7 linked regions of the Rattus norvegicus genome follow. The protein of the gene in region 7 purifies or fractionates together with the protein of the main gene of each other region. This does not show direct contact. Links are inferred from orthologs where the notes say so. Each region holds a gene or a part of one and is shown on either strand. Other genes may lie near its edges. The genes, in order: Jun, Brinp1, Usp22, Hdac2, Ect2, Ep300 and Sirt1.

The links.
Region 1: the proteins of Sirt1 (region 7) and Jun purify together in Homo sapiens (affinity purification with mass spectrometry; 4 studies listed by BioGRID and IntAct, with this or other methods). This does not show direct contact. The link is inferred for Rattus norvegicus from reciprocal best matches to the Homo sapiens genes SIRT1 and JUN.
Region 2: the proteins of Sirt1 (region 7) and Brinp1 purify together in Homo sapiens (affinity purification with western blotting; 6 studies listed by BioGRID and IntAct, with this or other methods). This does not show direct contact. The link is inferred for Rattus norvegicus from reciprocal best matches to the Homo sapiens genes SIRT1 and BRINP1.
Region 3: the proteins of Sirt1 (region 7) and Usp22 purify together in Homo sapiens (affinity purification with western blotting; 10 studies listed by BioGRID and IntAct, with this or other methods). This does not show direct contact. The link is inferred for Rattus norvegicus from reciprocal best matches to the Homo sapiens genes SIRT1 and USP22.
Region 4: the proteins of Sirt1 (region 7) and Hdac2 purify together in Homo sapiens (affinity purification with mass spectrometry; 3 studies listed by BioGRID and IntAct, with this or other methods). This does not show direct contact. The link is inferred for Rattus norvegicus from reciprocal best matches to the Homo sapiens genes SIRT1 and HDAC2.
Region 5: the proteins of Sirt1 (region 7) and Ect2 purify together in Homo sapiens (affinity purification with mass spectrometry; 3 studies listed by BioGRID). This does not show direct contact. The link is inferred for Rattus norvegicus from reciprocal best matches to the Homo sapiens genes SIRT1 and ECT2.
Region 6: the proteins of Sirt1 (region 7) and Ep300 purify together in Homo sapiens (affinity purification with western blotting; 3 studies listed by BioGRID and IntAct, with this or other methods). This does not show direct contact. The link is inferred for Rattus norvegicus from reciprocal best matches to the Homo sapiens genes SIRT1 and EP300.

What each region holds. Positions count from the first base shown.
Region 1 is NC_086023.1:115,010,194-115,014,137, reverse strand, and holds the start of Jun (transcription factor Jun), read left to right. Parts: upstream 1-1,144; 5' UTR 1,145-2,002; coding exon 2,003-3,007; 3' UTR 3,008-3,944. UniProt on the Homo sapiens protein: Transcription factor that recognizes and binds to the AP-1 consensus motif 5'-TGA[GC]TCA-3'.
Region 2 is NC_086023.1:87,433,081-87,436,580, forward strand, and holds part of Brinp1 (BMP/retinoic acid-inducible neural-specific protein 1), read right to left. Parts: intron 2,710-3,500; coding exon 2,540-2,709; intron 1-2,539. UniProt on the Homo sapiens protein: Plays a role in neurogenesis and brain development. May suppress cell cycle progression in postmitotic neurons by inhibiting G1/S transition.
Region 3 is NC_086028.1:46,337,940-46,341,439, reverse strand, and holds part of Usp22 (ubiquitin carboxyl-terminal hydrolase 22), read left to right. Parts: intron 1-2,840; coding exon 2,841-2,988; intron 2,989-3,500. UniProt on the Homo sapiens protein: Deubiquitinase that plays a role in several cellular processes including transcriptional regulation, cell cycle progression or innate immunity.
Region 4 is NC_086038.1:42,120,127-42,123,556, forward strand, and holds part of Hdac2 (histone deacetylase 2), read left to right. Parts: intron 1-1,673; coding exon 1,674-1,814; intron 1,815-2,068; coding exon 2,069-2,177; intron 2,178-2,849; coding exon 2,850-2,980; intron 2,981-3,218; coding exon 3,219-3,374; coding exon of another isoform or gene 3,375-3,430. UniProt on the Homo sapiens protein: Histone deacetylase that catalyzes the deacetylation of lysine residues on the N-terminal part of the core histones (H2A, H2B, H3 and H4).
Region 5 is NC_086020.1:111,963,827-111,968,085, reverse strand, and holds the start of Ect2 (protein ECT2), read left to right. Parts: upstream 1-1,459; 5' UTR 1,460-1,585; exon of another isoform or gene 1,586-1,677; intron 1,678-1,718; exon of another isoform or gene 1,719-2,139; intron 2,140-4,259. UniProt on the Homo sapiens protein: Guanine nucleotide exchange factor (GEF) that catalyzes the exchange of GDP for GTP. Promotes guanine nucleotide exchange on the Rho family members of small GTPases, like RHOA, RHOC, RAC1 and CDC42.
Region 6 is NC_086025.1:115,046,857-115,050,356, forward strand, and holds part of Ep300 (histone acetyltransferase p300), read left to right. Parts: intron 1-787; coding exon 788-938; intron 939-1,049; coding exon 1,050-1,196; intron 1,197-1,464; coding exon 1,465-1,578; intron 1,579-2,394; coding exon 2,395-2,560; intron 2,561-3,500. UniProt on the Homo sapiens protein: Functions as a histone acetyltransferase and regulates transcription via chromatin remodeling. Acetylates all four core histones in nucleosomes. Histone acetylation gives an epigenetic tag for transcriptional activation.
Region 7 is NC_086038.1:25,308,953-25,312,452, reverse strand, and holds part of Sirt1 (NAD-dependent protein deacetylase sirtuin-1), read right to left. Parts: intron 3,092-3,500; coding exon 2,850-3,091; intron 1-2,849. UniProt on the Homo sapiens protein: NAD-dependent protein deacetylase that links transcriptional regulation directly to intracellular energetics and participates in the coordination of several separated cellular functions such as cell cycle, response to DNA damage, metabolism, apoptosis and autophagy.

The sequences.
Region 1 (3,944 bases), on a different chromosome or scaffold from region 7:
CTCTCAAGGCTTGTTTTCCCAGAAGCAAATCAGGGAGGGAGGAAGGGCGGGCGCGAACTGAGTGTGCGCGGGGCTGTGTGTATGTGCTAGTGCAGGCGAGCGCTGGGGTTTCCTGAGTTTCGAACCTTTATATGTTGCTTTCCATACCCCAAGGAGCCGGGGTGGCATCTTTCACACCTAGAAGGGGGTCCCTCCGAGGTAAAGCGAACCCCTCCCGGCACGTCCCCAGAAAATGAAGTGTTGTGCCGGGGACCCTGGTGAATTCATTCCGAGCACAGCAAATCTCTGGTTTCCAGCACAGCACACTGCGGCGCAGATCCTTCTCCGAAACTAAACTTCCATGCGCACTCGGCGTGGGAGGGCCACTCTCAAACCCGCTCAACTTCAACCCACTTGCCGCTCCCGCACCCGGGGCGAACACAACCATATTAACCCGCGTCGCTCTGTCTCCCGGAAGTGCGGGGGTGCGGAGCCAGCTTCAATCGCCCAGATCATTCAGCCCTTTCACGGGTGTGTTCGTGTGTTCGTGTGTGTGTGTGTGTGTGTGTGTGTGTGTGTGTGTGTGTGTGTGTGTGTGTGTGTAACCTCTACTCCCACCCAAGCCCTCCGCCCCAGGCCACCAGCGCGTCTCCCCAGCTTTCTGGATCCCCGCGTCTCGGTCTGGGTCCCCAGCCCTGAACTTGAGCCCGCCTCCGACAGACTCCGCAAGGGTCCAGCGGACCCGGCAGCCTCCGTCACTAGACAGCCAAACCAAGACGTCAGCCCACAATGCACCGGGCGGGCCGGGAAAGACGCGCCGGGGAGGGAACCCGGGAACACAAGCCGGAGCAACGCGCGGGAGGGGGAGGGAGGTGGAGAAAGAAGGGCCCAACTGTAGGAGCGCAGCGGAGCATTACCTCATCCCGTGAGCCTTCGCGGGCCCAGAGAAGAATCTTCTAGGGTGAGGTCTCCATGGCGACGGGTGGGCCCGCCCCCTTGAGAGCGACGCAAGCCAATGGGAAGGCCTTGGGGTGACATCATGGGCTATTTTTAGGGATTGACTGGTAGCAGATAAGTGTTGAGCTCAGGCTGGATAAGGACTCAGAGTTGCACTGAGTGTGGCAGAGACTGCCTAGCTGGAGAGCGCTCAGGCAGACAGACAGACGGACGGACTCGGCTAACCTGGTCGTCCGCGGACTCCGGGCTGTTCATCTGTTTGTCTTCATTTTCTGACCAACTGCCTGGATCCAGCGCCCGCAGCTCCTGCACCGGTGTTTTGGGGAGCACTTGGAGAGTCCCTTCTCCCGCTTTTCCCGGAGAAGAAGCTCACAAGTCCCGGCACTGCTGACAGCATCGAGAACGGCTCCGGACCGCGCGAGGAAATAGGCGAGCGGCTACCGGCCAGCAACTTTCCTGACCCAGAGGACCGGGAACAAGTGGCCCGGAGCGAACTTTTGCAAAACCTCTTCTGCGCCTAAGGCTGCCACCGAGACCGTAAAGAAAAGGGAGAAGAGGAACCTATACTCATACCAGCTCGCACAGGCGGCTGAAGTTGGGCGAGTGCTAGCCGCGGCTGCCTAGCGTCCCCCTCCCCCTCACAGCGGAGGAGGGGACAGTTGTCGGAGGCCGGGCGGCAGAGCCCGATCGCGGGCTTCCACCAAGAATTCCGTGACGACTGGTCTGCGCCGCCGGAGAACCTCTGTCGCTGGGGCTGGTCCGCGGGCTCCGAGGAACCGCTGCTTCCCGAGAGCGCTCCGTGAGTGACCGCGACTTTTCAAAGCTCCGGATCGCGCGGGAGCCAACCAACGTGAGTGCAAGCGGTGTCTTAACCCTGCGCTCCCTGGAGCGAACTGGGGAGGAGGGCGCAGGGGGGAGCACTGCGGTCTGGAGCGCACGCTCCTAAACAAACTTTGTTACTGAAGCGGGGACGCGCGGGTATCCCCCGCTTCCCGGCGCGCTGTTGCGGCCCCGAAACTTCTGCGCACAGCCCAGGCTAACCCCGCGTGAAGTGACCGACTGTTCTATGACTGCAAAGATGGAAACGACCTTCTACGACGATGCCCTCAACGCCTCGTTCCTCCAGTCCGAGAGTGGCGCCTACGGCTACAGTAACCCTAAGATTCTGAAGCAGAGCATGACCTTGAACCTGGCCGACCCGGTGGGCAATCTGAAGCCGCACCTCCGAGCCAAGAACTCGGACCTTCTCACGTCGCCCGACGTCGGGCTGCTCAAGCTGGCGTCGCCGGAGCTGGAGCGCCTGATCATCCAGTCCAGCAATGGGCACATCACCACTACACCGACCCCCACTCAGTTCTTGTGCCCCAAGAACGTGACCGACGAGCAGGAGGGCTTCGCCGAAGGCTTCGTGCGCGCCCTAGCTGAACTGCATAGCCAGAATACGCTGCCCAGTGTCACCTCCGCGGCACAACCTGTCAGTGGGGCGGGCATGGTCGCTCCCGCTGTGGCCTCAGTAGCTGGCGCTGGCGGCGGCGGCGGCTACAGCGCCAGCCTGCACAGTGAGCCTCCGGTCTACGCCAACCTCAGCAACTTCAACCCGGGTGCGCTGAGCAGCGGCGGTGGGGCGCCCTCCTATGGCGCGACCGGGCTGGCCTTTCCATCGCAGCCCCAGCAGCAGCAGCAGCCGCCTCAGCCGCCGCACCACTTGCCCCAACAGATCCCGGTGCAGCACCCGCGGCTGCAGGCGCTGAAGGAAGAGCCGCAGACGGTGCCGGAGATGCCGGGAGAGACGCCGCCCTTGTCCCCCATCGACATGGAGTCTCAGGAGCGGATCAAGGCGGAGAGGAAGCGCATGAGGAACCGCATCGCTGCCTCCAAGTGCCGGAAAAGGAAGCTGGAGCGGATCGCCCGGCTAGAGGAAAAAGTGAAAACCTTGAAAGCGCAAAACTCCGAGCTGGCGTCCACGGCCAACATGCTCAGGGAACAGGTGGCACAGCTTAAACAGAAAGTCATGAACCACGTTAACAGTGGGTGCCAACTCATGCTAACGCAGCAGTTGCAAACGTTTTGAGGACAGACTGTCAGGGCTGAGGGGCAGTGGAAGAAAAAAATAACAGAGATAAACTTGAGAACTTGACTGGTTGCGACAGAGAAAAAAAAGTGTCCGAGTACTGAAGCCAAGGGTACACAAGATGGACTGGGTTGCGACCTGACGGCGCCCCCAGTGTGCTGGAGTGGGAAGGACGTGGCGCGCCTGGCTTTGGCGAGGAGCCAGAGAGCAGCGGCCTGTTGGCCGCCACGCTTTGCGAACGGGCTGTGCCCGCGCGACCAGAACGATGGACTTTTCGTTAACATTGACCAAGAACTGCATGGACCTAACATTCGATCTCATTCAGTATTAAGGGGGGTGGGTGGGGGCTTACAAACTGCAATAGAGACTGTAGATTGCTTCTGTAGTGCTCCGTAAGAACACAAAGCAGGGAGGGCTGGGAAGGGGAGGGAGGCTTGTGAGTACCAGGCTAGATTGCGGATGAACTCCCCTGGCCTGCCTCTCTCAACTATGTATGTACATATATTTTTTTTTAATTTGATGAAAGCTGATTACTGTCTATAATAAACAGCTTCCTGCCTTTGTAAGTTATTCCATGTTTGTTTGTTTGGGTGTCCTACCCAGTGTTTGTAAATAAGAGATTTGAAGCATTCTGAGTTTACCATTTGTAATAAAGTATATAATTTTTTTATGTTTTGTTTCTGAAAATTTTCAGAAAGGATATTTAAGAAAACACAATAAACCATTGAGAAGTAGCCCCCAACCTCTCTGCTGCATTATCGATAGATAATGAGAGCTAGGTGAAATGACAGCTGAGTGTCTGTATGCTGGGGTGAGAGCCTGTAGTCCCTCCCGTCTGGTTGTAGGAATAGACACCCTGCATGCTATCATTGGCTCATACTCTCTCTCTCCCCAGCAACCCACAAGTCCAGACTGTTGACCAGAAGATGGTGCAGTG
Region 2 (3,500 bases), on a different chromosome or scaffold from region 7:
AATTGATTGCACAACTGGCAGATGTCTGGCCTGTGCCTGGGAATGTGTGTCTCAGAATAAGCAGACAGGACATTAAAGATGACCAAATACACAGACTGGATCCATAATGTCCACTGTCTACCACCACTTCTCACTTCACAGTATCACGCTAGGTGTTGAATGGATGAATGAATGAATGAATGAATGAATACATTGAACCACAAATATGGAATTCTCAAGCCTAGACTTCAAAATCAGAAAAAATAAAAACCACTATCATTAATTTGCCATATGACATAAGGAAGTCACTTAACTCCTCTAAGTGTAACCAAGCTCAAGCTATCAATGGGGGACACATGTGAAAACTTCAAGTGCCTGGCACAGGGAGTCTTCAGAAATGACCGCTGGTTACAAAATGCCCCTATAAATGGCAGTGAGTACACAGGTACCATTATCAGGCAAAAACAGTACAATTGTCTCCAGTTTTAAAAGAAGGTTCAGCAATAACTCCAATGAGTGCCACTACAGGATTAATGAATAAATAAATCTAGAATCTATCTATCGTGTCTTTGTAACTTTGTCTTCCAAGATTCAAGATGGCGACACAAAGGAACCTCTGTATGGAATGAAAATAGCCATGAAATTAAAATGGTTTTATATATAATGGTCCCTTCCCTTACTCCCCATTCTTTTGAGCTGAAGTGTGTGTTCAACTGTAAAAGCACAGCCTCCACTGAAGGGAAAGCCAACTTGTGGGAAGATACAGAGCATCTTATACATGTAGGCTGGTATCTTGTCCTTCCTCAGTCTCTAGCTTCCATTTTCTGTAAATTTAGCAGTGCTTTTATGTAAAGAAATAAAGTGATTATAGTTTTCAGGTTATTATTATTAATATTGCATCATCATCAACATGGTGTCATCATCATCAATGTGCATATTTACCTCTCCATATGGTCATATTATGTAATTGGAAGCATGCATCTCACACAATACATATATTGACCAGAGGGCAACTTTGTGGAGTTTGTTCTCTTCCTTCAACCTTTATTTGAATAGGAGGCGATCAAACTCAGGTAATCAGGTATATGCAGTACGCACCTTTACCAGCTGCCCAATGTTTGTTTCTTTCTTTCTTTCAAATAATTCCTTCTGTTTATGCTGAATAATAGTATGCTTCTCATTGAGTAAGACTTAACATTACTAACTTATTTTACTATAGTTACTTTATCTGGGTCATAGGCTGGCTTTCTTCAAATCTAGCAGTGAGGCATGTTCAAGTGTTGTGAGTCCTGAGATAGCTTCAAGCAAACAGGAAAACAAAAACAAAAACCAAAAAAAAAACTTCCCAGAGCCAAATTGCACATAGAAGCCAGCGTTAGTGTAAAACTGGCTCATTGAGAGGCCTCTGTGCAATTTGTTTGAGAAATCCCTCCTAAAGAGGCAGGCTGCACATTCCAGGATGCACAGAAGAGGATTATCTCCTGACAGGGCTTCAATATGTCAATTCTATACCTCATCTGGGGGTAGAGAACTACTTGGCAATAATGAAAACCAATCCTTTGCCGCTACCAGACTCTCATGGCTTCATAAAGATCTGTCTCTAGTGCCAAACTCTTTAATAACATAATACCCCCAATATAGAGGATTCTTCCTGGATAAGCTAGTCCTTTGTTTGTTGAACTGATTCATTCCTCTCCTTGCTACCCTCCTCCCCAGTCAGGTTCTCCTCCGCTCACAGGTTTTTCTACTAATGATCAATTTCTGATTTAAGCTGCCTGAGTCCAACTTGACCTTCCCCCTCTGTCTCTTCTCTCTAGTGATGTCTTAGAGATTTTTAATATGAGACAAGATGTACATTTTACTCAGAAGTTAGAGCAAAGACGGAGATGGAAAATGTAGCCATAATCAAGTTTAAGAAAATTTAGGACAGAGAAAAATATCCTCTGACGAATTAATTCCTTATTTCAAGAAGAATGTCCTCCCGCACTTTCTTTGTAGAGGTCATCTCTAAACTCCCTGTACTGGAAATGGAATCTTAAATTTCCTGTACTGAAAGCCACTGACTTGATAGTCCAGAGCTAATATAGTCAACGTGTCTCCTTGACTTTGAATTAGTTAGAATCGAATCGACTTACAAAGGTATTTCCTCTGTAGACATAGTCAAGTGTTCGCTAATCACATGTGACTAAACCCACTTCCTGGCCAGTAAAGATAGAGGTATTTCCAGTATCTCGGAAGGTTCTGTGGGCAGTGTTAGTGCAAATGAACAGTGATCCGTGAGCAGGATGGCTGAGTATTCATTCACAAGTGAGTAGTTGTCCATAAAATCATCTATTTAACATACACGGACAGCACTATAGTTAATTCAACAATGGTCATAGCAAAATATATTTATAAGTCACTAGATAAGGCCATCCTAATGAAGACACTCGTTTTCTAAGAGATTTGGTAAGATCGATATGAGTGGTGGGTGAAGCAAAGTATGTTTGCTATCTGCTTTCAGATTGTCTCTATCGTGGTTCTGTTTTCTTGAGAATCTAAGTACACCCTAAGGCTGTACCTTGATTGCTCCAGTTGAAATCTGGATCTCATGGAGCCTTCTCATGGTGCCATCACGGTCGACAAAGTAGGATGATGCAAGCTGGTGCAAAGCTTCAACACTTTGGGTAGCATTTCCTGACTTCCGGTCGAGGCGACTTTTGTCCATGTACATGGTCAAAGCCTCCTCTCCTGCAGGGGAAAGAACAGAAGATGAGAAAGGTTATTCCAATTTCAGTGTGGGATGAGGGATTCCGGAGTTGGGATGCTGAAGACAGACATATACTCCAACCAAGCAGTCTGAATATCCCTGTACCCATAAAATCAAGGGCACAGTGCAGAAGATGTAATCCAGAGTTGTTATAGATCCCATTAAAGCAATGACCATCAAATAATGAACAGCAATCACAGTTCATTTCCAAATAAACCTGTTCATGTATTTCAAGGGCCTTGTCTTACCTAATGAAATTCTCTAGTTCTAAGAACGTTTATGATTGATTTGGCATAGATACCTTTTCTTTGTATTTTTCCTTCTGTTTCAATACAACTTAATTCTTCCTTTTCATTTTTGCTACCATTTCCTTATCATTTCTTCATATCCATCCTTTTTTTATTCTCAGTGTACTCATTTATTGATAGACCAATCCAGGTAATAGATATGTAGAGTAATAATAGACAGATACAGGAAAGGGAGTGAATAGACAGGTAAATTCTTAGGTGGTTGTATGGAGAGAGAAGGAATGAGATAGAGAGATAGAGACTTTTTAGATGATTGATGAATGGAGCAGTGAAATTAAGTTATAAATAAAATCTATCTTACAGATATAAATATGACTATATGAACTTATAGATTTTCTTTCATGAATTTTCCTAGAAATTCATATATAGATTCCTAATACTACCAAGGTATTATGGTATTGGATGTGCTAGTAATCTATTTCAATGTAAGATTGTGAAAAACTCTAGATGTTTTCAGCAAGTAG
Region 3 (3,500 bases), on a different chromosome or scaffold from region 7:
CATACTTGTGCCTGTCGATGCCTGTCCCCTCGCTCAGGGGCGGAACCTGCTCAGGTTTGATATCAGGACCTACTGTCTAAGTAGACTCAGGCCAGGTGTTAGAACTGAAATAACTTCTTTTCCCATCCTAGAAATAGAGTGGCCCCTTCCCTGCACAGAAGCCAGCAGACAGGCCTCATCTCTTTCAGGGGTCTTTTACCACTCTGCATCCAGGCATTTTTGCTCACAGGTTGTCTGGGCTGCTTTATGTCACAGCCCAGGGTTGAGCAGTGGACAGTTACACAGTGGCTTTGCAACTGAGATGACTCAGCTGAACAAAATGAGTCCTGGACTTCACTGGGGTAAACAGCCAGTTACAATGTGACAAATGCGTCTCTCTTGATTTATTTTTTTAAACTCAGGCTTAGTAAAGTATAATTTGTATCCAGTGAAACATCCTAGTATATAGTTCTGTGAGTTGACAAATGTGAGGCACCTCCACCTTCATAGGCGACACAGGTTTTTGTCCCCAGAATTCCCATTCCCATGCATGTGACATGGATGGCTGTGTAGCACATTTCCCAAGTGTTGTGTATATGCAATATTCCACCCTTCTACTAGGTTTGCCTGTGTCTCCTTGGTGTGGCACATCAAGGTCCATGTGGGCTCTCTCTCTTGCCAAAGAACATTTCTTTTGCGGAGTGGTCATAGTGCAGTTAGTGGGGGCCTGGGTCCGACACTGCTGTGGTTTCCAGTTTTTACTGTTACAGATGTAAATGTTTCAGTATACAGGGTTTTGTGGAAAGTGTTTCTCTCCAGCACCTTGGTTAAGCTGCTGTCCTTGGTTTTCAGTGTGCAGTGTTAGTCTACTGCAGCAAGTACGTCGTGGCTTTAGTGCCGTGTGGATCTGCTGCTCGCTCTAGTCTCTAGCTGTTCATTACTAGTAGAAGTTAAACACCTTCCATCTGATAAACAAAGCCCAAAATGTTACACATTCCAACACTGTGGTTACCAATTCAATGCCACAAACAGAGAATTCCTTCCACACCTTCCCTGGTCAGTATATACTTCCTAAGTTACCTTCAGACTGTCTATTGAGTTTCTCTGGGTTTCTATTTCTAATACATGAAAACACAATATCCAGTTTTATGGGTCCTGACAGGAACTGTAGAGGTCACCAAACCAAACAAACCGTGAAAGCCTAACCGTCACAGCTGCGGGTCCAGGTAGGCGCTGACTCTGGGGTGACCATCCCAGCAGCACTTCCAGGATTGCGTTGTATGGCCTCACCTCAGCCTGATTTAACACACAACACATCCACTTTGCTCCCTGTGTCAGTGCCCGTAAGACTGCCTGAGACGCCTCAGTGACTAAGACTGTTCTGTGGTTTACTGTCCATGCAGTCTTCTGCTTTTACCAAAATGCAACGAAGCCATTTCAGAAAACAAAGGCATTGAGTATTTTCCTGCCATTTCTCAACATGTAACTATGTCTTCATATATCTCTAGATTGTGGTGTTGAATCTTTGTTTTGAAAAATTGCTGTTTGAATTGATGAACTGAGTTTCAGAGTTTTTTGGTTTTGTTTTTAAAGGCTTAGGATTAAAACGGAATTTCCCCATTTCTAAAATGGCCTTAAATGTACTTAATTTTGTACTGTGGGTTTCCATGAAGTGGCTTCTCAGGCAAAAGAAGCCCTGGTTATAATGATGATGAACTTAGGAAATGCATTCTGGTATAAATGGGTGTCTGGTTGGCTCTTGGCATTACTGTGCCGTTGATCACTTTCCTTAGAAGAGATGTATGATCCTTTTAAGAATGAACTTATAATTCTCAGTCTACAGACAGCCTTTGGATGAAGCTCGGCAGTAGACCTATTGCTTGGTATACCTGAGGCCCTGAGTTTGAGTCCCTCATTGCAAAATGGCCCAGGAGTTAGCTTTGGTTTTTTCGGGATGCAAAAGGGCTTGCAGGCTCAGGAGACTCGCTCACTTGATAGCTGTTTGCATTGGTGACAGATTGGTACTGGCAGCCATTTACAAAGCAGCAACATCAGTTGGGTGAGGAATCAGGAATGCCCCATTCCTTGAGTGTAGGGCTTATTGTACACATAGACCAATGATAAAAAGCAGCAGGATGGCCTTGAGGAAGAGATGCTGGCACAGGCTCTGCGTCCTTGCCCCGAAATCTGAACTCCGAATAGTCTGAGACCTACAACTTCTGAGCACACAAGCATTTTCAGACTGCTGGGTTCAGTAATGTCCTGGCAAGTATTCCAAACTCTGAGACATTCAATTCTTCTCGCCCAGTCATATGATATCTAGCTAGAATGCCACTTGATAAAACTCAGGTAAATAAGTAAATGTCAGCAGCTGTGTGAGGAATAGGCTCAAACACAACAGTGGCTCAGAAGGGGAAACCTGAGCTGCTCACTGGTCATATGTGTCTAACCAGGCAGGGCTCTCTGGGCTCTCCACTGCAGGAAGCATGATGTGGAAGTGAGCCTCTGGGTCTAGTGTCTCAGCAGTAGACTTCTCTTGGCTCCCTGAGCATGTGCAAGATATAAGGCCAGCTGCAGTTTGCTCATGTTCAGTGGCCCCATTGCAGCCAGACACCACCCAGGAGGGTGGGCAGGGTTTTGTGAGGCACACATTGTAGAGTGAGTCACTTGAGTTTGCTATTTGTTGTGTGGGCTTATCAGTGGAAATAAAGTGGAGGAAAGTGGGTCCACATAACAATCCAGTTTGCAAACAGAAAGCAAGTCCATTTGATCAAACTAGTCCTACCCAGTCTGCAGCTGTGATGTTTTGTATGATGAAGACTGGCAGGTGTCCTATTGTCCCTTTCCTTCTCTTTAAACAGTTTTACTCGGGGCACCGCTCCCCACACATTCCGTACAAGCTGCTGCACCTGGTGTGGACGCACGCCCGGCACCTGGCAGGTTATGAGCAGCAGGACGCCCATGAGTTCCTCATTGCAGCCCTGGACGTCCTCCACCGGCACTGCAAAGGTGGGCCTGCTACCATCTCCCTGCTAGGCTGAGGCAAGCGGGGGTTCCCATAGCAATGGTGCAGAGCAAGGCTGGTGCGCACCCAGGCAACTGTGGGAGTGTGCCTGATTGTCTCGTGTAGTCAGTATAGTCAGGTTCTGTTTCCAGTAAGGAAAACTGCAGGGTTGCTTCCAGGGAGTCCTCCACAGTGTGTTTGTTAGTGTCGGTTGGTTTGGGGTATTTGGAAGCAAGGTCTCACTGCGTAGCTAATACTGGCCTAAAGCGGTAGTCCTCTTGTCTCAGCCCCGAGTGAGTGCTGGGATTACAGGTGGGGATCTGTACAAGAGGAAAGATCCCAGAGTCAGTGCGCTGGTGTACACACCTACAGTCCCGCACCCAGTGGCAGAGGCAGGCAGATCTTCTGCCAGTTGAAGGTCAGCCAAAGAAATACCTTACCCTGTCAGGAGAGATCTCTTCTGGAATGACTCTTCATAGAGTATTGGTGTTCCTGCCTCTGCTGAGTGGATGTGGAC
Region 4 (3,430 bases), about 17 Mb from region 7:
AGTTCCTCCCCTCAGAGCCGAAGACCGTGCTCTGCCAGTGAGCTGTGCCCGGTGTGTACTGTCAGGTGATAACTGACAGTTTCTAATGTACCTCTGTGACTGACTTCAGCCGCATTCTCTCAGGCCTCGTGAAGGAAGTGAGGCGGTCAGCTGCTGTCCACCTCACTTCTCAGTTATTTCTTCTTATGCTGTTATTATTTCTTAATTATTTCCATGCTTCCTCTTACAGGCCCTCTAGCCTTCATTTCATAAATCCCCCCCTTTTTGCCTGCTGTTGGGTGGTTGAACGCTGGTCTTGTCTGCTCTCTTTCCTTGTAGTCTGTAAGTTAACTTCTGTCCTTAGAAATGTCCAGTAACACTGTTTTAGTAGATGATGTCTGGTTGATAACATGAAGAAAACAGATAATTAGACACTGTAAACTCTCATTAGGTAATGGGGTTTTTTTTTCTCTTGTGCAATTTTAATTTTTTCCAAATATTTTAAGCTTTGTTATAAAAATGTTAGAAAAACAAAACAAGCAACAGAACCTCACACTGAAATTAACTGGACCCAAAGATTCAATGGCTTCTATGCTTGTGGCAGCCAGCATCTCAATACCAAGTGAAAGCCTGCTGCAAAGGGACTTTTTTATTTTAATTAAGGCTAAAATCCATGAAGAGAATGTGGGGGGGGGGTGGGGAATGGATGAATTTCTGCTGTCAGCATTGAGGGACTTTGTTTTTTGTTTTTTTTTTTTTTTTTTTTTTTTTTTTTTTTTTTTTTTTTTTTTTTTTTTGGTTCTTTTTTTCGGAGCTGGGGACCGAACCCAGGGCCTTGCGCTTCCTAGGTAAGCGCTCTACCACTGAGCTAAATCCCCAGCCCCTTTTTTTTTTTTAAGAATTATTTATTTATTTCATGTATGTGAATACACTGTAGCTGTCTTCAGACACACCAGAAGAGGGCATCAGATCTCACTACAGATGGTTGTGAGCCACCATGTGGTTGCTGGGAATTGAACTCAGAACCTCTGGGAGAGCAGTCAGTGCTCTAACCACTGAGCCATCTCTCCAGCCCCTGAGGGACTGTAATGATGGCATTGTGTGCCTGAATGATAATACCACCAGAAGTTACTGGTAACTCAAAACTTGTTCCTATGTGAGGTTTGTAATTAAGTAAATTAAGAAAATTATCCATAATACCAGCACCTAAAGATAGTCAGTGGTCAAACTTTTTGGTATTGCCTTCCGTAGTTAAGCTACACATGTCATATAGGAGAAACAAAATTTAGCATCTGTGTAGTGTCTTCTCTCCCTTACCCTTATGTGACCTCTCATGAGCATCCTGTGTTGCTAGTAAAATACATGTGTGTGTGTTTTAATACTTAACACGAGTTATTTGTTGGATACAGTCCCTGTCATCACCCCTGTCATTGTCTCCCCCATCCCCCACCTTGGGGTGAGGTGGCCTGCCCTGTAGTCATGCTGTATGGTCTAGCCTGGCCTCCAGATTCTGCGCCACTTACCTTACCTTAGCTTCCCAAGAGCTGGGACTGTTGGGATGGGCCACTCTGCCTGGCTGTCTACAGACCCTTTTTTTTGGTTGAGTAAAATTGTTTGTAATTATCCTTTTTAAGGTCCTATTTTAAATTGCTAAAGAATATATTTCAATGTTACCCAAATCTTCTTCGTCGTAGGTCACGCTAAATGTGTAGAAGTAGTGAAAACTTTTAACTTGCCGTTGCTGATGCTTGGCGGAGGTGGCTACACAATCCGGAATGTTGCTCGATGTTGGACGTATGAGACTGCAGTTGCCCTTGATTGTGAAATTCCCAATGGTAGGTGTTCAGGTTGCAGTATCTAGAAGAACATGCAGTGTGTGGAAATGGATGAATGGGAGGGTCTGCAGCCACACCCCTGGAATGTATGATCTCCTCTGACGGCTGAATGGTTAGAGTGCGAATCTGTGAGAACATTCCATGCTCACTCTCAAGCTTCCTTTGGGAATAGTTCTTTTACCTGGATTATGATTCTGAGTTTATTTGGAAACTAAGCTTTCAATGTGTAACTTGCTTTTCATTGTTTTTAATAGAGTTGCCATATAATGATTACTTCGAGTATTTTGGACCAGACTTCAAACTGCATATTAGTCCCTCAAACATGACAAACCAGAACACTCCAGAATATATGGAAAAGATAAAGTAAGAAATCATTTCGCCTTAATGAAGTTTCAGGAGGCTATAGAAGGTCAAATAAAGGAAACTTTTAGATACATGAGATATTCTCTTTGTTTTAATATGATTTGAAACCTTAAGGATATTTGTGGTTTTAATCTAAAATAATAACACAAATATGTAACCTTTGTAAATAGAAACTTTTTTTTTAAGATTATTTATTTATTATATATAAGTACACTGTATCTGTCTTCAGACACACCAGAAGAGGGCATCAGATCTCTTTACAGATGGTTGTGAGCCACCATGTGGTTGCTGGGAATTGAACTCAGGACCTCAGGAAGAGCAGTCAGTGCTCTTAGCCACTGAGCCATCTCTCCAGCCCAATAGAAACATTTTTATTAGATCAAGTGCTTTCTGTCTACAGAATGTAGAAATGGTGAGCGGAATGGGCTGTGTCTTCTCGCCCGTAGACAGTTGTAGGACATGGACAAGTGCTCTTGTTGCCTCATCCGTCAGATGGGGTGAAGTGAAGCATAGCTGTGTGCTGTGGGGTCAGCCGTGTGTGCAGTGATCGATGCTCCACTAGTGTCCCATTCCGCGGTTAGCTAAATGGGAACTTGTTTTTGTTTAGTTCCTCCTCTGTCTAACAGGAACTTTGCATACAGTGGATTTTGTCTAATAAATTGTGTCGTTTAGACAGCGTTTATTTGAAAATCTGCGAATGTTACCACATGCGCCTGGTGTTCAAATGCAAGCTATTCCAGAAGATGCTGTTCATGAAGACAGTGGTGATGAGGATGGAGAAGACCCTGACAAGAGAATTTCTAGTAAGAAACTCCTTCACAGCACATGTTGTGATTCTCCTTTTCTCCATTTAATAACGTGAGATTTAGCTTCCTGATGTCTCAAAGCCTGAATTAATATCACCCTTCATTTTGTGTGACTACACAAACATGGCTGCATCCAGAAAGTAGGCACTTGATATCTATCAATATCTATCTACCTTATGTAATGATTGTAGAACCTCTGGCTATTACCAAATTAATAAAAATGTTTGTGTCCCAGTTCGAGCATCAGACAAGCGGATAGCTTGTGATGAAGAGTTCTCAGATTCTGAGGATGAAGGTGAAGGAGGTCGTAGGAATGTCGCTGATCATAAGAAGGGAGCCAAAAAAGCCAGGATTGAGGAAGACAAGAAGGAGGCGGAGGACAAGAGGACAGGTCCGTCTGTGCTGGTGACGCTCCTTTTCACTGCTTACGGGTGCACTGTATCTTTA
Region 5 (4,259 bases), on a different chromosome or scaffold from region 7:
CTGATGATCTCAGTTCCTGCACTCAGACCCCACATTCTCATCCAACAGATTGGGAAGCTTGTTCTCCTCGGGCGGTGCACAAAGGAAACAGCACTGAGGCCGTCAGCTTAAAGTACTTTAGTGAGGAGAATGTTTGGAATGCCAGACACACCCAAGCTTAAACTGCAAACACACTCCCGTTGGCAATTTCAAGGCTGATTTTTTTCCCTCTTTCTTCCGCTCTAATGGCTAATTCTAGAGACTGTCAGGCCATAGATAATGTTAAGCAGAAAACAAAACAAAACAAAAACAACCAACCAGACAAAGACTGTAGACTGTTTTACTCATTCTATGAACTCGCCATACACTTGTCAAGCTCCTAAGGTTGTCAAGAAGTTCTTTTTGTTTTTAAAGTAGATCTTGGGCTGGTGGGTTGGCTCAGTGGTTAAAAGCACTTCTTACTCTCACAGAGGACCTGGGTTTAATTCCCAGCATCCACATGGTGGTTCATAATCCTCTAATTTCAGTCCCTGGGAATGGATCTGGCCTCCTCCTTACCTCCAAGCACTCACAAGATGCACACACACACACACATCCAGGGAAAATAATACAGACACATATAATTAATAAATCTAAATTTAAAAGGTGGTTTTAAAACCTCTTATTGAGGTTTGGGGCGTAGCAACAGATCCAACCACTTGGTAGGGTTCGGTTTTGAAAGTAAAAAAATAACTGTTTTGAGACAGGGTCTCCTGTGCAGACCAGGCAGATCTTGTTCTCCACTTCCAGCGCCATCCTCCTTAGTAAGTGGGGTCACAGGATTTGAAACCACACCCAGCTAGAAGTGTATGTTTAAGAGATTGTATTATAGAACATTACATCTAGAAACAATTTTCAGAATAGAAATATCGAAAAAAAAAACCTGATCATTTCTTTTCTAGACTTCAAAGGTCACTAACATTCTTATGCTGGGGATTGGAGGTGGGGCCTGGGGAGAAGGAGCAAGCCACCCAGAAGCAATTTTGCATCAGGGGATTCTAAAATCTCCTTACACTTTTTTTTTTTTAGTTACTTAGATGCAAGCTTGTCTCCAAATATAAAATCTGGGAAGTGGTAAGAGCCGAATGGTTTGCGGTGCTTGTTACTTTTCTTGAAGTTGGAGGTGATGGTAGAGACTGAGCCTCGGGAAACTGGCTGTTTACTGAGTAAACAAGCGGTCACCACAGAAACACCTGCTACGTCTAGAGGCGCTCCGAGGCCACGCCCCCCTCTCGCCCACATCCGGGCATTTCGCTGACGTCCACACGCTCCAGCCGTTTAGCTTATTTGAAACACACGCATAGCCAATCAGCCGGCGCCTCCTGGAGGCGGTCGTTGAGATTGACCAATAAGCAGTCCGCCAGAGACTCCAGCCTATCAAAAGGAGGTTGACAAAGCGCGCCAATCAGCATGGCTCTGAGAGAGAGCGTCTGGGTTTTTTGAATCGGAGGCGGTAGCCTCCTTCGAGCCATGGCGGCCCCAGTGAGGAGACTCAGTGTTTGAGAAGGTTAAGCGAGGACTGCGCCGCAGTGGTTCATTTTTCTTTTTTTTAAAATATCTGAACGTGGTGAGGACTGCGGGGTGAGTGGGGGACGGGAAGGGATTCGAGTGCCCGGAACTGCACCGGCCGTGGGGACCAAGGCCGGCGTCCCCGCCGCGGTGAGCCCCCACGGCTGCGTACCTGTCTGTACCGCTCCCTTTCATCCTCTTCCCTCACATCCGCCTCCTTTCCTGTCGTCTGTTCTGGCCCCGGTTTTTCCTTGCGGGAATCTGGGTTCTATTCTGCTTCTGTCAGGCGCCCCAGGGTGAAGGGCGCAGTTGGGACAGCGATTTTGGCTTCCTGCTTGCCCTTCCGCCCGCTCGCTGCAGCCCAGAGCTGCCCTGATTGTTTTGTGGTTTCCCTCTGGAATTCCTGCAGAATTCCGATTTTCGATTTTTTTAAAATATAAAACACAGGCCGCTCCGCCCCTTCCTGGCCACAGATGTGTGTGGTTAGTGGTTAACTTAGCGCCCTCAGAGTTAGACCCGGCTTGGAGTCTCTGTGTGAACAACTTTCTTAGCCACAAACTGGATATGGCAATGATATTTGTCTTTTAGGATGGCTGCAAAGGTTAAATAATGGTAAGGGGGAGATTTAAGATAGTGGCTGTAAAATAGTGAGCTTTAAGTAAATGAAATCGCTAATTAACACCATTATCAACGTATTCAAAACTATTGTAGTTTTGTCTCTTTACTCTGGATGACTTTTTTATGGAAAAAAAGTTTATTTAAAAGAAAAGCTAAAAATGACTTTATTTAAAAGAATCCATGTGTTGTGAGACAGGGTCTTAGGTATTCCAGAATAGGCTTGAATTGTGGAGCCAATGGTGACATAAAACTCCACCTGCCTCTACCTCCTCCCCGATGTACTTTCACCTTGCTTGGTTTTGAGGTGCCCGAGGATGACCTCATGCATGCTACGCTGAGGCACATTCCAAGACAAAGATGTGTTCTTTTTATGATCAGATTGTTGTGTTTATTTTTAAAAAGCCTCTAGAATGTGTGAAAAGGAAGAAACTGGTGCATTTCAGTTTGCAGTGATGTTGGGTGCTAGATGTATCATTAGTGTGCCCTGTAGCTCTTTTGCTGTATATTTTGAAAATAGATAATAATATGCATTTTCACTGTTTTGGTGCATAGTGAGAAAGGGTTTAGTTGTGTACTCCTGCCTGTTGTGTGGGTGCTGGAACTTTAGGCTTGTGCCACTAGGCAACACATTATCAGTCAACTGGCAATTTTAAAGAGGGTCATGTAAGCTGAAGTATTGTTGAAAGTGCATTGTAAAGCTCTGGCACGTAGTTTACACATAAGTATAGACTCTTATTTTGACTTTTTTTTGGTGGGGGGCGGTCTGGGAGATTGAACTCTGAATCTTTCCAGGCTTTACCACTAAACTCCACCTCCAGCCCTAGTCTATTTTAGTACATTTATACCCCTGTAATGCTTAGGTCAAGGTCATGCCCATATCACTGTAAGCATTTATCCTTTTACTGGAGATGTTCAAAGTCCTTTCTACTAACCTTTAAGTTAGGAATTGGAGTTTCTTAGGTGACGTTTTAGTCTAGATTAAGCAGTGTTCTACTGACCATTTCATTAATTATTTTTGGCTTTTTTGAGACGAAGTTTCATGTGACTCCTCCAGCTCCTGTGGTCCTTTTGATTTGTTAAAATCTCTGATCCTATCTTGGCTTTGTGAACATTTAATCCCAATTCTCAGGAGTGTTGGCACAGGAGGATTGACCATGAGTTTCCTAGCAGCTTGGAGTGCAGAATGAAATCAGGCCAGCAAGGATTTCGAGATCCTGTCTCAAAGGAACATGGGTCAATCAAATCAAATTCCCCTCCAGTCCTTAAAGCTGAGCAGCTCACCCTTTCTCCCTTTTTCCTTCTCCTCACCAGCCTCTTGTAAAATTAATTACTTAACTTTTTAAAAAAGATTTATTTACTTATTATATATAAGTACACTGTAGCTGTTTTCAGACACACCAGAAGAGGTCATTGGATTCCATTACAGATGGTTGTGAGCCACCATGTGGTTGTTGGGAATTGTACTGAGGACCTCTGGAAGTGCAGTCAGTGCTCTTAACTGCTGAGCGTCTCTCCAGCCCTTAATTAACTTTTAAAATTAATTTACATCTCAACCACAATATCCCTCCTTCCTCTTCTCCCAGGCCTTCTCCCACCCTATCCACTCCTCCCTTTCTCTTCTGAAAAGCGGAGGCCTCCCATGGATATCAACTGACCAAATCAAGTTGTAGCAAGACTAGACAACTAGAGGAAAGGTTCTCAAAGGCAGCAGCAGTCAGATAGCCCATGATTCCCCTATCCCCCTTTTTGAACCAGGGTCTTATTCTGAGTTTTGGGGTAAAAGGTGTGTACCGTACTGGACTCACTCTCTTATTCTGTAACACAGACTGGCCTCTAATTCACAGTAATCCTCTTGCCTTAAGGCCTTCTTAGATGATGTTTACTACCATGTTTAGCTTTTTCCTTTTTTTAAAAAAAAATTTTTTTTTAAAGATGTGTTTATTTATAATACATTGTAGCTGTCTTCAAACCCACCAGAAGAGGGCATCAGATCTCATTACAGATGGTTGTGAGCCATCATGTGGGTGCTGGGATTTGAACTCAGGACCTCTGGAAGGACAGTCAGTGCTCTTAACCACTGAGCCATCTCTCCAGCCCTGGCTTTTTCCTTTTTT
Region 6 (3,500 bases), on a different chromosome or scaffold from region 7:
CTTTAAAAATTATAAATAGCTGGGAGGTGGTGGCACACACCTTAAATCCCAGCACTTGGGAGGAAGATGCTGGCAGATTTCTGAGTTTGCAGCTGGCCTGCCCTGTCTTTAAAATTATATATTATATATATATATATATCCTGAATCTTAGTGAAAATGAAACTAGCCAAAATTAATGAATTTTAACTGTTTATAACAAGTGTTGTGGTGCACACCTCTAAGCCCTGTACTCGGGAGGCAGGCGGACCTGAGTTTGAGGCCAGCCTCATCTACATAGTTGAGCCCCTCTTTCAAAAGAGAAAAAGAGATTTAGCTAAAATAATTCTGTAGCATACTGAATATTGAACTATTAAAATTGCTGAAATTTGGGGTTGGGGATTTAGCTCAGCGGTAGAGCGCTTGCCTAGCGAGCGCAAGGCCCTGGGTTTGGTCCCCAGCTCCGGAAAAAAAAAAAAGAAAAGAAAAAAATTGCTGAAATTTTTAATGCATTTTTCCCCTATATTTTTCCTATTCTGGCACATAATCATAATGTGGGGCACATGTAAAAGTGATTGACTAGAATCACGGTAGAATTAATTTACAAACACCTTCTAGCATTACCTAATACTTTGTGTTGAGAGATAAGATATCAGTTACCTTACTATATTGAAAAAACAAATACATCAGGTTGGTTGACCCTGTCAGTATTGACAGGAAATTTCAGCCCCAGTAACTTCACTCCTGCTCTTTGACATTAGGAATGTATAGAAGGCCACACCTTGGTGACTTGTAACTTTCATATTTCTAGGATTGCCTTCTACCAGACTTGGGACCTTTCTGGAGAATCGAGTGAATGACTTTCTGAGGCGACAAAATCACCCTGAATCAGGAGAGGTCACTGTTCGGGTTGTTCATGCTTCTGACAAAACTGTGGAGGTGAAACCAGGCATGAAAGCAAGGTGTCTAGTAATCTCCCATTCACTTCTTACAGACCTACAACTGTGCACACTGGTTATTGTTGATTTCAACCTTCAATGATTTGTGTTTTCCTTTTAATCTGGATTATGTAGGTTTGTAGATAGTGGAGAGATGGCAGAATCTTTTCCATATCGAACCAAGGCCCTGTTTGCCTTTGAAGAAATTGATGGTGTTGACTTGTGTTTCTTCGGCATGCATGTTCAAGAATATGGCTCTGACTGTCCCCCTCCCAACCAGAGGTAGGACTCTATGTGACCAACCTCTCATTTGGGATTGGGTTCATGTTATAACTAGTAGAAAAGCACATTGGGCAGAAACAGGATGGTGCGCATAGCATGTATTAGGTCAATCATACACGGAAGCCAAGGCCAACCCAGGTCCCCATAGTCACACCTGTGATTTCCCTATGATAGTTAGAAGTAAAAAGAACACAGGAAAGAATGGTGATGTCTTTAGCCAAGTAAATAATGATACGTAATGAAACATTTTTCTTTGTTTTTAATATAGGAGAGTATACATATCTTACCTCGATAGTGTTCATTTCTTCCGTCCTAAATGCTTGCGGACTGCAGTCTATCATGAAATTCTAATTGGATATTTGGAGTATGTCAAGAAATTAGGGTAAGCATATTAAAAAGTGATATGTTGTAGAAAATGTGTAAGTATATATTTTGGCTTTCTCATGTTGGTTTTGATATAGTGAAGCCATGACCTCAATTTCTTAGATCTTCTATGATATAAAGATGATATCACCATGTGTTAACTAATAAATTAATCCATTAGGTCTGTTTTGTTGAAACCATTAGTATTATTCATTTGAAAATGAGAAATATTTCCTTGATCCTTTTATAATTGAGTATAAATAATGAAAACAGGCTGAATGTGATGGTATACACTTAGAGTCCCAGCATACAAGAGGCCTGGGCTAGAGGGTACAAGTTCATTCATAAGTTTAGATATGAAACTAGCCCTAGCTTTAAATTCAAGTCCATACATCCTGGAGAGTACTTGCCACCTTCCACTTAATTTGTTAGATGGCTTTCATCTCTTCTTTGACCTTAAAATACAGATTTGAGGGGGCTGGGGATTTAGCTCAGTGGTAGAGCGCTTACCTAGGAAGCGCAAGGCCCTGGGTTCGGTCCCCAGCTCCAAAAAAAAAAAAAAAAAAAAAACAGATTTGAGGATTTAGGATCAAGAACCAAGCCCCTCTATAAATGAAATTCACAACCTTCCTCCATGGCCTTTCAAAACAAGTAGGTAGTGTGAGAACTATTAGAGCAGATGCTCCAGGTCTTGTTGAGAGTGAGCATTTCTGTCCTTGTCCATGGTGTACTGTGTGCAGGGATTTGCACCTGTATCCTCCACAACCCTAGGAAGGTTACTATAGCTTTCTCGAACACGAATTATTTCTTGATGTCCTTCTCTTTGTGTTTTTAGATACACAACAGGGCATATCTGGGCCTGTCCACCAAGTGAAGGAGATGACTATATCTTCCATTGCCATCCACCCGATCAGAAGATACCAAAGCCCAAGCGCCTGCAAGAATGGTACAAAAAGATGCTTGACAAGGCTGTGTCAGAACGCATTGTCCATGACTACAAGGTCAGTTAGAACATAGAAATGTACCAGTCTACTATCTTCTGTCTTCTCTTTTGATAAGTCTTGTTCGGTCTTAGAACATGTAATTGTTATGTTAATTCGTTAAAGTTTCTTTTTAATACATAAAATTCCAAATATAGAAAGGCTAGGTGTTAGGTGATTTACAGATGAGCAAAGTAGTGCTTGCCTAAAATCTCACTCTGGAAATTAAGGCAGGATGACTCAGAGTTCACACGTGTCGTGGGGGTCTGGAGAAATGGATCAGCAGTTTAGAGCAGTTGCTCTTGCAGAGGACCCAGATTTGATTCCCAGCACCCACATGGTTGTTCACAGCCATCCTTGGCTCTAATTCCAGGTGATCTGACTGACTTCCCTTTTTTGGCCTCTGTGGGCATCAGGTGCACACATGGTGCACACATGTGCTGTATGCAGGTCGAATGCTTTTACATATAAAGTAAAGTAATAAATCTAACATTTAATAGCTGAATCTATCATGGGTAGGATATGGTTGTACATGTCTTTACTAGCAGTGGATAGGCAAAAGCAGGTAGATCTCTTGAATTTGAAGCCCGACTCATCTATATAGGGAATTGCAGGCCATCTTGGGCTAAGTAGGAACACTTTGTCTCAAAAAAGAAAGAATTGGGTATGGTAATTTCATGTGTTTAATTCCAGCATTCAGGAAACTGAAGTATATAGATCTCTGGGAGTTCTGAGGAGACCAACCAATCTGCTTTACATAGTGGGCTGTGTATATAGTGAACCAAGGGTAGATAGTGATCCCCTCTCTAAAAGAAAGAAGGAAATACATTGTGATAAATTAGTGACATTTTCATTTTTGCCATATAATGAAAGCTTTTTAAAAACAGAAAGCCAGCTGGTTGGTTGTGGTGCATGTGAATTCCTTTAGTCCCTACAGAGGTAGGCAGATCTCTGTGAGTTT
Region 7 (3,500 bases):
TCTGAGCCATCGTTCCAGCCCAAAAATGTATCATTTATTTACTTATTTATGGGTTGTTTTTTGTCTTTTGACAGGATCTCACTGTACACACACACACACACCCCTACCCCTGCCTCTGCCTCCCCAAGCATAGGACACCTAGCTTCTCATTATCTGAGATAGGCTGGGTAGCCATTAGGCTTCAAGGATCTGCCTGTCTCTACATCCTAATGCTGAAGTTCGTCAGCACAGTAAGGTCCTGAGAGTCAAATGCTAGGCTGGGATTAAAGGAAATGCATTACCGTATCCAACTAGGAATGTATTTTTAATTATAAATTGTAATGATTAAAACCCAGAACAGTGGCACAAGTCTATAGTCAGAGCTAAGACAGCTGAGGCATGATCACTTAAGTTCAGGTAGCCACCCTAAGTAATGTAAAAAGGGCTAAGGATAAAGTCAGTTGTACAGTGTCTGTGCCTGACACATGGTTAAGTCCTGGGTTCACAACTCCAGCAGCGAAAACAATAAATTACAACAATGAGACAGTGAGATGTCTTGGTAGCTAAAGGCTACCATGCTACCACCTGTTTGATGCCTGGAACCACACGTAAGAATGCTTGCAAGTTGTCCTCTTGACATCCTCATGTGTGTGCGTACATGTGCATACACACATATACACATCACACACATACCAGCAAACAAACTAAAAAAGAAATTGGGGGTTTTTCAAGATAAGGTTTCTCTGTGTGGCCCTGGTTGTCTGGGAACTTGCTCTGTAGACCAGGCTGGACTTCAACTTTCAGATTCACCTGTCTCTGCCTCCTGAGTGCTGGAATTAAAAGCATGTGTTACTACACATGGGTACACAAATCTTAATAAATTTTAATAAACAGGTATGATGACACTGGCCTTTAATCTTTGCATTTGGGAGGCAGAGTAGGACTATATCTCTACAAGTTTGAGGTCAGCCTGGTCTACAAAGGAAGTTCTAGGCTAGCCAGAGCTACATAGTGTGATACTGTCTCTAAATAAATAAAAACTACAAAACTTTTAGATATAATCCTTTTTCTTCAGATAAATCTTAACACTCCCAGTAGGGGAATTGACAAGCTTTATTTCATTCCAGATTTACAGGATTCATTCAACTTGGAGTAAAAGAAAAAAATGTCTCTGGAATACAACTCTAATCCCAATTCTTCAGAAAGAGAAGAAAGTTTGAAATCATCCAAGGCTATAGAGAAAGAAAGAAAAAAAGAAAGAAAGCCAGCCAGCCAGCCAGCCAGCCAGGCATGGTAGTACATACCTGGAATAATCCCATAGCTGGGAGGATCTCTGCCAAGTTCCAGGCCAGACCTGAGTAAGCCCCTGTTTCAAGAATAACACTGGAAGCCTACATACAGAATAGCTCAGCAGTCAGTTAAGGTGCTTCTGACCAAGTCCGAAGTCAAGACTGACAGAGGAAGGAAACAAGCAACTCCCAACTCAGGATGTACGGACTCCCACAGGTGCCACAGCACACAAACTACAACACATACCCAAACATAAAACAAATTTTTCCCTAAAAAAAAAAAAAGCCAACCCTTGTCTCCTTGTCTGAATCACACCTGTAGGCCAAACTAACCCTACTTGGGGCTAAGAAGCTGTGCACACTGACCTGCTTCAGGCACGCCCACCTGCCTCTGCCTCCCACAACTGAGATTCTTTTTTTTTTTGTTCATTTATTATATATGAGTACACTGTTAGCTGTCTTCAGACACACCAGAAGAGGGCATCGGATCTCTTTAGAGATGGTTGTGAGCCACCATGTGGTTGCTGGGAATTGAACTCAGGACCTCTGGAAGAGTAGTCGGGTGCTCTTAACCGCTGAGCCATCTCTCCAGCCCCACAACTGAGATTCTTGATCATCATTTAATACTTTTCACTTTGCTCAAACTGCTCTGGCTGCTAACAATGTCTAACATACTATATAACACAGAATACGACTTGGTTTTAGACCAAGTCAAATGAAAAAGGTCAAGTCTCTACAATCTTACAAAGTTAAAATGAAGAAAAAGGTAAAAATGTTACTTACTCCCTAATATTAAGTTTCTACTTTCTCCATGAAAACTGTCTCCACTAGACTCTTGCTATGACAGACTTCAAAAGGATCTGATTTTTCTAAGTCATCTTGAGGAGCCAGGATTCAGTGTGTAAGAGCTCTAGGGGTTGAAAAGGTGGCTTGATGCTCTTGCAGAGGACTTGGAGGCTCACAAACATCTATCACTACAGTTTCAGGAGATCTGATGCCTTCTGGACTCCTTAAGCACTTCACACAATGGCAGAGAAGCATACATGCAGATAAAACACCCATACACATAAAATTAAAACCAAACAAGTCCAGGAGCTAGAGAGAGAGCCTAGCCATGAAAGAGAACTTGCTGCTCCTTAAAGAGAACTCACGTTTGCCAGCACCCACATGGTGGCCCACATTCCTGGAAACCCAATACTCATTTGTGGCCTCTGTGGGGTACCAGGCATACCATGCACATGTATGCATATAGGCAAAAATCAATCAATCAATTAATCTCTGTGTGTGTGTGTGTTTCTCCTCTTTCTCCTCCTCCTTTCTCCCCCTTCTCTCTCTCACACATGATCTTAAAACAAACAAAAAACCCCGTAATTCCACTTACCAATTGTACTATAAATATACAAAGATTTAAAGTTGTTAAACTTTTCAAAACACTGAACTAGTTTAGCAAATGCTGCTGTCCTCAGTTTTTATGAACAAAGACTACTACATCAAAAGCAAAGCAAACAAAAAAATTAACTGGAAAAGGAATAAAATATATACTAGCTTTTTCTCTTTACTGTTTTCATGTGTCTTACTTACCCCAGCTCCAGTCAGAACTATTATCTTTTTGCACTCTTGTAGTAACTTCACAGCATCTTCAATTGTATTAATATCTTTTCTTTTTTTCCGCTTTGGTGGTTCTGAAAGGATATTAATAACAATCTGCCACAGTGTCATATCATCCAACTCAGGTGGAGGAATTGTTTCTGGTAATAAATCTTTAAGAATTGTTCGAGGATCGGTGCCAATCATGAGGTGTTGCTGAACAAAAGTATATGGACCTATATTAAGGGAAGAAAGAGTCCCGTCATCCCCTTCTAATGGAAGTGCTCTATATTTTCAACCAATGAGGTAGCAATCGATACATTTATATGCAAAGAATATAATTTAAAGATATTTCCTGTCATATCCCTAACTAATCTGACTAATCCAGAGTTTGGGGAGGAAGTGCTTAGGTATAAGGGTTTTTTTGCTTGGTTAGTTGGTTTGGTTTGAGACAGGGTTTCTCTGCATAGCCCTGGCTGTCCTGGAACTTGCTCTGTAGATCGGGCTGGCCTAGAATTCAAGAGATTCTCCTGCCTCTGCTTCCTGAGTGCAGAGATTAAAAAGGTGCATGCCACCACTACCTGGACTGTCTAGGTATTTTGACTAAGCTTAGATGTTTTAAGTATTTTAAAGGTTAGGGGGACT